3 linked regions of the Caenorhabditis elegans genome follow. The protein of the gene in region 2 interacts with the protein of the main gene of each other region in a pairwise test. Each region holds a gene or a part of one and is shown on either strand. Other genes may lie near its edges.

Region 1 (3,555 bases), on a different chromosome or scaffold from region 2:
TATTGCATATCAAGATACCAGATTGTCTAAAAAAGTAAAACTAATTTTAATGAAAATGGAAAACATTTTTGATATATCGCTATAAAGTTATCACTCGCAAGTATTATCAGAAAAAGTATGTAGCAATTTTAATTGTAAGCTAAAATAAATTTTAACTTCTAAGGTCGTATTACATTTTTCGTAATGAAGGAACAGTGTGGTAGTGAAACACGTAAAGTCGTGAACCTAAACGATTTGAAACTAAATTGAATTTAAAATACTTCATCAGTGAGCTTTTTTTTTTTAATCTCTAGTTTCTAAACTCCTGCTGGCGAGCTAGAAAATTCTTGTAAATCTAACTTTTCTATAAATATTTCTTTGATGAGAGCATTTTTCAATGAGTACAGAAATAGATAGAACATACGTAAACCTGTATCAATGCCAACTGAACAAATGTTTATGAGATTTTCTAAAAATGTAGTCGAAGAAGAGACGCTAACAGTTTTTAAATAAACATGTTGTGTTTCGAAAACAACTGGTTTATTCTGGTTATTTTTATGTCACGTCAGATTTTTAAAGCGAGAAGGTTTAAAAAGTTATGCGTTTATTGAAACTGAATTGTTTCGGTATATACAAAAATCAAGAATCAGGAACAATTAAATTACTTTCTGCGGCAGCATTGTCCATTTCCGCATGGAGAGTAGTTAGCTTGGCAAGAGCAGGAGCTCTGTTGTGGGCTCTGCTGGCAGGCAGTAGTTGCTGGTTGAGCAGCTTGGCATGAGTTAGAGCATGATGATTGGCAGGCAGTTTGGCACTGGGCAGCTGGCTGTTGTTGCTGAACACATTGCTGTTGGCAGGATTGTTCGCATTGTGGGGCACATTGGGATGATTGAGCAACAGAAGTCTGGAGAACAATCTGGATGACTTGAGCTGGAGCTTCAGTGGTGGTGTCGTATGGTTGGTACATTGGCTGAGTCTGCTGGGAAGTGCAGGAGTTGTCGCAGGCTGGTTGGCAAGCTGGAGCGCAGTTAGCGTTCTGGTTGGTGTTGGTATTGTATGGGTTGTACATTTGAGTGTTGGTGTTCTGGTTCATGTTCTGGTTGTAGACTTGTTGGGTAGCCTGAGCAGTTTGTTGGCAGATATCAGAGCATTGAGTGTTGCAAGCTGGCTCGCACTGGTTGGATTGTTGCTGTTGCTGGACACATGAAGATTGGCATTGTTGCTGGCACTGTGGTTGGCATTGAGCTTGAGCTTGTTGGATCTCGAGTTGGATTTGGATCACTTGTGGGGCCTGGGTGGTAGTGGATGGGGAATCACAGGCAACATTGCATTGTTGTTGGCATTGTGGCTGACATTGAGCTGCTGGTTGTTGTTGTTGAACACAGGTAGATTGACATTGCTGTTGGCATACTGGTTGGCACTGTTGGTATTGGACAACTGGAGCTTGGGTGGTGGTAGTAGTGGTTGGTGGGTTGTACATTGGAGTGCATTGAGCCTGGCACTGTTGCTGACATTGTGGCTGGCACTGGGACACTGATGGAGAAGCCTGGCATTGCTGTTGGCAGCTCTGTTGGCAAGCTGGGGCGCATTGAGTAGATTGAACCTAAAATTTTTGATTTAATGGTTTGCGAATATGTTAATGAACTGTACCTGAACTTGTTGAGTTTGTTGTGGCTGAGCGCATGAGCAGGATGGGGATTGTTGTTGAACTGGAGCAGATTGGCACGAGCATGACTGAGTCTGTTGAACTTGTTGGCACGAGCATTGGCTCTGCTGTGGCTGAGCACATCCACACTGTCTCTTTTCACGGATTGCACTTCCAGATACCACAAGGGCACATGCAAGGAACGCAATAGAAAGTGAAGTAAAGCGCATTTTAATAATGATTCGAACCGAGGAAATCGGATGGTAATGAAGCTCTGTTCTTCTCTTTTATATGACTTTTCCAGCTGCTCAGTAAACCGGTTCCAGTTCCTAATTTCCTGATCCTCTTCTAAATGTGACTCTCTCTTGCGGCCGCGCGCAAAAGCGTTCGCCTAAAGCTTCAAGTAAGCTATCGAGTCACTAAAAAACTCCGAGCTAATACAGGAATAAATTGTAGTATTGCGCAAGCAAAGAAGAGAGGTCTTGTTTGAGTTTGCTCTATGACCTTGTTCACGCAAGGTTCGCACATGAGAACTAGTTTTCAAGGGCAAACAGCGATAAGCAATCTATTTTTATAAGATTTATCTTTTAATTTTGTTTAAATTTTTGAACCGTTCTAGCTAATCGAAAATCAAAAGAATCAATGAACCACATAGACACGTAGACATGTAAGAACGACAAATTTCGACTCTAATTTAATTTACATGATTTGTCATGCATGACATAAGTTGGTTTTCAGACCCGAACATTTTTTCGATTTGATTGTATAGAGCTACAGTGGTTGCTGCCTCGCTTCTGGGATTTCCTAGCTTCCGGGATCTCTAGAGTTTGAAATTTTAGTTTTGAACTCACTTTGAAACACATTTCAAAGTTTAAAAAATTAGGTATAAAAACATTTAGTTAATAGCCTAACGGATTTTTTAAAAATAAATTGTATCTATGCGAAATGTGAAAGAAACTATGTTTGTATTGTAGCTGAACGCCACCGGCCCAGGTGACTCGAGCCTGACAAGAAAGTTTCAATTTTTCCAGATATTTCTCTCTCATTCATAACATTAACTTTTTCATTTCCTGTTGGCTGCAAATTACAATCATGATTTCCGTGACAACAATCTCTGCAATTATGCTTTTGGTAAGATTTTATTGTAGCTCAAACAAATTGATGTACCTTCAGTTTTCCCTCTGTGGATTTACAATAAATTGGGCAATTGTGATTATAATGATAAAAGTTACAAAGTTGCAAAAACCATTTGCAATTTTAACTGTTGGTCTAGCGATTGCTGATGGAACATTTTCCGCGCTCTACTTATTCTATGCAACTCCAATGGTATTTTTGTAAGTTGAACAAGTTTTTTTTTTCATTCAGCGAGGCCAACAGTTAAAATAAAAATTCCATTCAGCGAGAGCGATATTTTATCAAATTATTCGAGTGTTTGTGGATATGTTCTTATGATTTGCTACAGTGCTTCAACAACTTTTCATTTCATGATATCCCTTAACAGAATTCTAGCAGTGTATAAACCAATGCTTTATCGTATGATGTTTAGTGTTTTGTTCACGTTTTGTATAGTAATGGGAATTTATTCCTACGCACTTACAATCATAACACTATTTTTTCAAATTTGTAGGTTAGTTTAATGTCAACTAAAATTGACGGGAGAGTTGCAGTGGGATGTCAAAATTTTTATGACCAAGAAACAAGAGCATTTCGTTATTCTGGAGGAGACGTTTGTCGTTTTTATGCAACTTATTTAGACTTTTATCTTGTTTTTTCATTGACTATTTCCAGTACTATTTTGGACTTTTTAGCTATCGGAAAAGTGTTAAAAATTAGCTCAAAAACAGAAAAGCACTCAAAAGAACTTAGCTTGTTGAAACAGGTAATATTGATCTTTATAGATTGTTTTAAATAATAATTTCAGTCCATAAGCC
Region 2 (4,869 bases):
TGATAACAACGAAAAAAAAATAATAAGAGAAATACATTTAAAGGCGCATACACAAAATATTTATGCATCTCCCTTGAATATTGTCTTCGCGAAAGTGTAACAATAAAAATAAATTTTGTTTAAATTTAGTTTATTCTCCCAAATTTTAACTGAAAATTCAAAAAACATATCCAAAAATGTGTCTTGCCCCGCGTCCAAATTTAAATTTAAATTTCCAAATCACCTCAACATGAACTCTTTTCGGATTCGGAAAATTGATAACAACGAGAAAATAAATCAGTGAAGGTAGAATTAATAGCAGCGAAATATAGATTTTTGTCTTCGTTTCCATATTCTCCGCTGAGAAGTGTCTATCACAAAACGCGTCGTATGAGTTGGAGGGCTCCGGCTCACCAGGAATTTCAATGGCAAGTGGCTCAAGCCGCCTGACAGCTCTACCTGTCGGTTGCACACTTTCAGCCATCATTCTTCAAGAACAAAAATAAAATGAAAAGTGCGGCAAAAGAATACATTTGCATTTTCTTGAATTCTTTCAATCAGTCATTCACTGTGAGACACGACGATGAAAAAAAAACGAATGGGGTATGCAGTTTCGCAGATATTATTATACAAAGTAAAGTGAAAGTTTTCGTCTGGAATTTCAATATTTATTGATTTTATCATCGATATAAGTTCAGAGATTAAACATTTATACAATAAGAAAAATGGAGGAGACAAATGGGTCCGTTTACACAATGACGTGGATTTCAGATTTTGAAGAATTTTGCGTTTAAGATTGCAGATGAGATTTGTTGAAATAATGAGAATGAGGTGCTTCATTCACAATGGTTGAGATTGAAGCCACGTTGAACGTTGAGCCACTTTTGGGGAGATGCTCGGTCTGGAATCATGAACATTTTTTATGGTCTTGTCGTGAGAAAATCTTTCCAGCTATGTACAGCACCCGCGATTACGGTGGATTTTAGCATTTACTTTATTGATTTTTGCAAACAAATTTTTCGATTTTTTATGTTTTTTTGCAACAAAAATACTTATTATTTGCCAAAAATTAACTCAAGTTATAGAGGAAAAAGAAGAAACATCTTCAAAAAATAGAGAAAGGACCGAAAAAAATAATTATCTGAGTTTTTACACAAAAAAATTCCAAAATGTTTTGTATTTTCGAATCAAAAATCAATTGTTCCGCTTTTGGATATTCAGAAAAAATTGAAAAACCTACTAACTTGTACCTGTACGTTTATTTTAATGATAACTACAAAATTTTACCGTACTAGCGACTACGGTATCTGTAAAGTTTTGGTCCTCTTGTGACCTTACAGTCTGAAATTCTTTAAAAGTATAGCTTTCTGATCTTCTGGACTTGTCTGACAGAAAAATTAATGAGCCGTTAAATTTTTCAAAAAAGTGAATTTCCCGCTATTTTTTGGATGTCAAAATACAAGGGTAGTAAGTTTTCACAACCAAAAAGTATATATTTGGTAAAGTAAAACATTTTCAACGAACCTCACTGCGATTGGCTTCGCGGCGAAAACAGTCTTCGTGTTCAGTTTGGGCGATCGTATTTTACAAGGTTGTGCAAAATGTTGGGTCGGCTTGAGCTCAATGGGAAGAGCACGCCGTACTGGTGGCGAACGAGCAGGCGAGAAGCGGAGTGGTGCTGGTTTTGTTGGCTGCTCGGTAGATGACACGTAAACAACGTTGGCACGGAACATAGCGTCGGCTTTCTGTAGAAATTGAAGTTGTTTTTTCAGCTTTTTCTAGATCATAATTCTAGCTTCACAGGTGAAACGGCGAATAATGCACCTAAAACAATTTCATGCCCGTGGCCGAACTTCTCTAGGTGAACCTTCTAGTCCATAAGTTCAAACGGCAGATCTTACCCCCCTCCCCTCATACAATTTAAAGAGCAGCTGCCTAAAATTTTCTGTTCAAAATTTCTAGGAGTACCACTGAAAAATTACAGTTCGACTACTTTATTTTTTTTCAAACTATCCGAGTTTCAGAGCTGTGGCCGAATTTTAACAAAGTACAAAAAATCACCTGTTTATTCCATCGAATGACTTCTGCTTTCTGTGGAGTTTTCGCCTCATCATTCAAGCTCAGCTGGCTCAAAGTGCTCGGCAAGGACGGCTCAATACTCGAATGCCGTTTCGACGATTGATTCAGTACTGTGAACGCTGATCGGCGCTGAAAATTTGACAATTTATGGATTTATGGATATGTTATTGATCTACCTCTTTTGTCAAATCAATCGGATGTCGAGGCGGCTTGGAGAATCTGAAATTTTTTTTTTTTGAATTGTAAAAGTTTCAGTGCATAAGAAACTCACAAGTACTCTGTATTGGAAGTAGTCGAATCGAACATGCTCTTGGGACGGATACGTTGCGGAGATGTCTTCCATGCTCCACGATGACAACTTCTAGAAGTTATGACAGGCGGTGCGAAGGAAGTTTTCTCCACATCATTCTGCATAGAATGGGAGACACTGCTATGCGTCGATTCAAGTGACATCTTCCGAAATGTTGAGTAGTTCATTGTTGTTGAACTGTTCCTGTAATCCGACTAGTTTTCCTTTTTTTTCTTTTTCTACGAAATTCCGTCAAATTTCAATTTCTACAAAACCTTTTTTTGTGTTTTGGGAAGTGCGGCATTTTTTACCAAAAATACCCACAGTACTATTTCTGATAATGTCCCCTTTCAAACTGGAAACACTCTTCACTAATACAGGAAATACAAAATTTGGTGAATTGTGATTTTTACTTACTCATAAATGTTTGAATGTCGATTTGAAGTCTTAAAATCTTCCGGTGTTGAACTTCGCGTCGAGCTGATAGTATTTTGAGATGAGATTCCAGAATCAACAGATTGAAGTGAGAATCTGTCCAGAAACACGTCTCTGGTCTTTTTCTCTCGCGTCTGTACATCGTCTAAACTTCCAGGAATGATTGGAAGACGTGAGCGAAGGTTCTGAAATCACTTAATTTATGCCTTACACAAAAGTATGTCCCGTGCCTACACGTCTGCCTACTGCCTAGGCAGCTTTTGGCACTCCTAAGGAATCAAATTCGCCCGTGAAATATGCACAAACCTGTATCAAAAGTGTATGTTTTGCTCTCAACATGTCCAATTCCTGCATTCCACTGCGACACGCCTCATACCGATTCCGGAGGCGATCGTCATGATTCATGGTCATCCGTGACCTGCTATAATAATCCTTTTCTGGTGGTGGTGGACCGTACCCAGAAGGACCACCACCGATCTGAGCACAGTCGGTGTCACGTGGCAATCGACTCAGATTCGGTGCTGAAATTGGTTTCAAAATTGCTATATTTATGACTAACAAGAAAAAAGTAAAGTTACTCTCAGACTTTAGAGAAATATGCCACTGGAAAGTGCTTACTGAGAAATTTCAGACGGCAAGAATTTAGAGCAAAACAATTTGAAATTAATTTTCAAACTGAAATTTTTCCGAGCATTGCGCTCTATTTTAAAGGCTTATAGATTTATATCGAACATTTTTTTTAGAGTTTTGAGGATTTCGAGTTGAGCTTTTTGGAAAAATTTCAAAGTTTTGTAGATTGAACTCTTCAATAAGTACTTTCAAATGGAATATTTCTTGTTGTAAAATATGATGGATGGTAAAATGCAAACCAAAAGTTATGTGTGAATAGGTAGAAATTTTAAATAATTGATAATCTTAAAAGTTTAAATAAATGTTTGTGAAAATCATTGCATGTGTACGCGTGTGTGTGTACAAGGGCAAAAGTAGTTAGTCAATGAATATGCACTCGTCCACTTGAGACCCCCCTTGCGACCAGGGGGAACGGGTGTTTATTCGATGAAACGGTAGGAGACGGATAAGTCGATTATTAGAAGAAGAAGAAGAAGGAAGCACACACACAGAAAACTTGAGCAAACTGCTGCTCGATTCGCTTGGATGAGCATCATTCCGACTGTGAATGGGCAATGCTTCCGGTATGAGAAATTAGTATTAATTTCAGGAATTTTTTTTGGCTAAAATTTAGACCTGATTTCATTGAGTTTAAATTAATTTTTAATGGCCACGGAAAATAAAACTAGGCCATTCGAAAAAAGGAGCTTTTTCTCAAAAAAAATTGCTTCTGAGCATTTTGGGTAAGTTAACTTATAAATTTAATAAATTATATCCTAGCAAAATATTTCAAATTTCTTGGAAATTTATGTACTTACAGTAAGAAAAAAGCTGCAAACTTAGTTATTTTGAAAGTCGACCAAAAAATAGTTTGCAATGCTCGAAATTACTCAAAAAGTAATTTGGAAAATTTGGCAGTTTACCAAAAACTTCAACTGAAAATTTTTTTTTTAAATCTAGAAATTTATTTTTTGGGTTACAAATATATTTTATAGTTCTCTATAGTAAAATATGATGCATATGGATTATGTGTGAACAGAATTTTTTTTAAATGAAGATCCAGGTCAACTGTAGATAGAAGGGAACTTTGTGAACATAAAAAAGTCGGATAGAACCCGATTCGCGGCCTTGCAAAAGGAAATAAACTGTGAACAAATGTAGTGATGATGGTAAGTGTGTCAAGTTACTTTAAAGGCACAGCCTGATTTGTTGGAAGAAATTTACAAGGTAAAAACCTTTTTTGAAATTATGCAAATCACAGATCGAAAGGAAGGAATGCGACAAATATAAAACAAAGAAAAAGGATTTTACGATGATAACGTATTGTTCAAGGGGTGATAATATGATGATGATAAGTTGAGGAATCAGGCAGCTGATCGACTGGGCCACACACACTCACACACACGGAAACAAGAAGGCCTCCTCTCCTTCTCATCGGCAACAAGTGAAAGCAGCCCCCTCCGGCCTATTCTAAGAGA
Region 3 (3,147 bases), on a different chromosome or scaffold from region 2:
TATGGATTCATCCGATGATGAAGATAATATTAATTTTGAATTTCAGAGTTCTGATAAAAATTGAATGTTTCTAGTTTTTAAAAGTTTTAAAAAATACTATTTTATTATTTTCGAGATGATTCGAGAAGACTTTAGTATGTACTACAAGTTTCATTTGCATATAATACTACATTTTGTTAGTACATCACTTTTTCTGTGTTTACACAATTGAATTTGTTCCAAGAATCCATCAAGTGAAATCACGTGTGTTCCTTTTAAACTACAGTAATCCTTGTAGTAAATTTGAAATTCATTATTTAGATTTAAAAACATTTTCAGAGTGTATACACAATTCAAATAAAGTGAAAGCAACAAAGATTTTAATATCCCAACTAGTTTAAAAGTGGAAAAAATGTTTTAATTTAACAAATTTATTGCGACAGATTTCAGATTTATAATTTCTTTTGTTTTACTTTATTTTTTACATTGAAATAATTCATTTTTGTATGATAAAAATTTACAGGCAATTATGAAATTTTCAGTTCATTTTTCCAAACACGAATGACCAATTTTTCTTGTCAAATGATGCATTGTGTCGTCAAAAAAGTAAAATTTTTTATTTTTGAACCCGATAAATATCAAAATATATGCGCAGAATTGAGTTTGAGAGATAATTGAAAAGGGCAAGTTTGAATGTGAACGGAACAAATGAGATTGAGTTAATGAAGACTGACAGGAGGAAGATCGGCTCTTGCAACAAGCATATGAAGTACTTTTGATTGTTTGATAAACTTCACAGCTCGATCATGAGTCATCATTGTGAAATCTGCTCCATTGACCTGAAAATAGAGAATATTATTTAGTTGGGGTGTCCGTTTGTTAGAGGATGTTCTCAATATCATCTAGAAAAATTTTGAGGAGTTTTCAATTTTTTGGAAACTTATGTTAAGCTAATGTTCGAACGTTCTTGAGTTTGTCTACCAAAAATTTTTTAATTGGCCAAATGTTTAATTCACTTCAGTTTAATTCACGCAAATTTATGTTGAATGAGAAAATATTGCCTAAGAAGAGTACTGTAATTTCAAATTCTCATTTCTGCTGAATTTTCATCGATTTTGCATGGTTTTTTGATGAAAGTATATTTATTTATTTGAAATATAACAACACAAAAATTTCCAAAAACTCATGAGAAAAACTATGCAAGATCGATGAAAATTCGGCAGTAAGTTTACAGTACTCTTAATTAACAATGTATATGTTGGCAAGAAAGTTTGATCATTTGTCTCTGGGAAAAGAAAACTTAAAAATTTCATAATTACCTGCAGAATCTTATCATGCTTTCTCAATCCAGCCACATCCGCCGGCGATCCTGATTCGACGTTTGTGATATAAACTCCAGAATCCGGATATTTGAATGGCGCTTTTGTTGGATCTTGATCAATTCCTCCACCAATTTTAAATCCAACTCGAATTGTGACTTGTCCATGAGCATCAATAACTTCTTGTTTGTGCAATTCAACAGCAATTGACAAACATTCAATTGCTTCTCCTGGCATATGACCATATGCTGTCATTGTATTATTTTTTTTTGATCTGAAAATTGGAAAGTATTTAAAAGTGAAATTGAAAAGAAAATGAGGTTTTTTGTTCAAAAACTAATGTTTAAATGTGTCGGAACACGGACAAAGATGAAACGCACACATACAACATGAGGTGTGACTCATTGTCTTCAACCCCCTCTGGTCTCCATTTTTCTTACACTATCTCATCTTCCTACTCTCATGGCCGAATTTGCATACATTTTTACTCAATTCCGTTCGGATTGTCATTGAGATGGCGACCTTGTACAAGTGTTGCCGATAAGAGAATAATTGAATTGGTGGCCGTGGAAGAGAAATTGAAAAAATAAGACCAAACATCGCTTTTTGCGGCCATGGAAAGTTGGTTTTACTTGTATTGAATAATCTTTTTCCCTCAATTTTTTATTTAACGTTTCCAAATCTTGCAGTCTTGCATGTTTCTATTTGCAGGCATATTTTTAAAGATATTATAATAATTAATAATGAATTATTTCAATGTAAAACAATATAGTCAAGAAAAAAGAATATCTAAAAATCTAAAATCAGTAGCGGAAAAGAAGTTTTTTAATGCTAGGTACTGTAGATTTTCCAATTTCCACAATATATGTTTGAGAAATCGATTTATTTTCAAAAACCATTTTTGTTCAAATTAAAACATTTTTCCCACTTTTAAACCATGTTTAACTCCAAAATCTTCTTTATTTTCACTTTATTTTAAATGTGAATTCACTTTGAAAATGTTGTTCAATCTAATAATATTCAAATTCACTTCGCCGATTACTGTGGTTTTAAAGGAGTGCATTCAAATTATTGATTGAGGTCTCGCAGCGAGCTGGGTATGGTGAAATTTTTTATTGATTTTTAGACACTTCTCTTGCGCAAAACTCTTAAATTTTTAGTTAATCGTTGACTCTCATTTCTTTTGCTAAATATAATGATAAATTATCTAATAAATTTTCAATTTTCAGCATAAAAATGACCCAAGAACCGTCAGACACCAGTGATTATCAACGATTTGATGAAATGCTTCTTCATTTGGAGCCAAGAGGGGCAAGAGTTCCTTATAACGTTGTTTACGACCAAGACAACAATATATGGGTATATTATAATTAAACAACAACAATTAAAAATTATTCATTTTTCAGGTAGCTTCAAAAGGCGGTTTATATAAATTCAACGGAAAAACTCTCCGAACTCTGCACGAAGACAAGAAATTCTTCAAGAAAATGGCCCCATTTCCACAAGTAATTTCGTACAAAGACAGGGTACAATAAATTATTTTCACTTAAGTTATTAATTATTCAAATTTACAGATAATCTACACATCAGCTGAATTCTCTGATCGAACGACAATTTTAAGAGTAATTTCACTTGATGGAGATGTTGTTCATGAGTCGTTTATCGAAGGATTATGTAAGTTTTTCTGGTATAAAACATTTTTTAAAATATATTTTTTTTTAGTAAATTCCATGACAATCACTGATAGTGGCGATATGTATATTGTGAAGCAAGCTGAACCAGGACATCGAAACAATTTTATCATGACGTAAGAATTAAAATAAATCATTTAAAGAAGGAGTATCGTCAA

The links.
Region 1: the proteins of T20F5.4 (region 2) and abu-15 interact in a two-hybrid assay, tested with the Caenorhabditis elegans proteins (one large-scale study listed by BioGRID).
Region 3: the proteins of T20F5.4 (region 2) and txbp-3 interact in a two-hybrid assay, tested with the Caenorhabditis elegans proteins (one large-scale study listed by BioGRID).

The regions. Positions count from the first base shown.
Region 1 is NC_003283.11:5,156,922-5,160,476, reverse strand, and holds abu-15 (Activated in Blocked Unfolded protein response), read right to left. Parts: upstream 1,876-3,555; 5' UTR 1,855-1,875; coding exon 1,630-1,854; intron 1,583-1,629; coding exon 641-1,582; 3' UTR 570-640; downstream 1-569. Other genes in the region: srx-39 (G-protein coupled receptors family 1 profile domain-containing protein), read left to right, coding at 2,717-2,755, 2,798-2,958, 3,024-3,247, 3,292-3,503, 3,546-3,555.
Region 2 is NC_003279.8:3,912,006-3,916,874, forward strand, and holds T20F5.4 (uncharacterized protein), read right to left. Parts: upstream 3,304-4,869; 5' UTR 3,194-3,303; coding exon 3,089-3,193; intron 2,968-3,088; coding exon 2,765-2,967; intron 2,552-2,764; coding exon 2,330-2,551; intron 2,278-2,329; coding exon 2,235-2,277; intron 2,188-2,234; coding exon 2,041-2,187; intron 1,725-2,040; coding exon 1,504-1,724; intron 881-1,503; coding exon 820-880; 3' UTR 630-819; downstream 1-629. Other genes in the region: T20F5.8 (TPA-induced transmembrane protein), read right to left, coding at 224-466.
Region 3 is NC_003281.10:5,045,590-5,048,736, forward strand, and holds txbp-3 (Tax1-binding protein 3 homolog), read right to left. Parts: upstream 1,573-3,147; 5' UTR 1,554-1,572; coding exon 1,299-1,553; intron 819-1,298; coding exon 699-818; 3' UTR 587-698; downstream 1-586. Other genes in the region: C45G9.14 (uncharacterized protein), read left to right, coding at 1-64; vtip-1 (Vha Twelve Interacting Protein), read left to right, coding at 2,535-2,657, 2,705-2,824, 2,873-2,972, 3,021-3,105. UniProt on the Caenorhabditis elegans protein: May regulate a number of protein-protein interactions by competing for PDZ domain binding sites.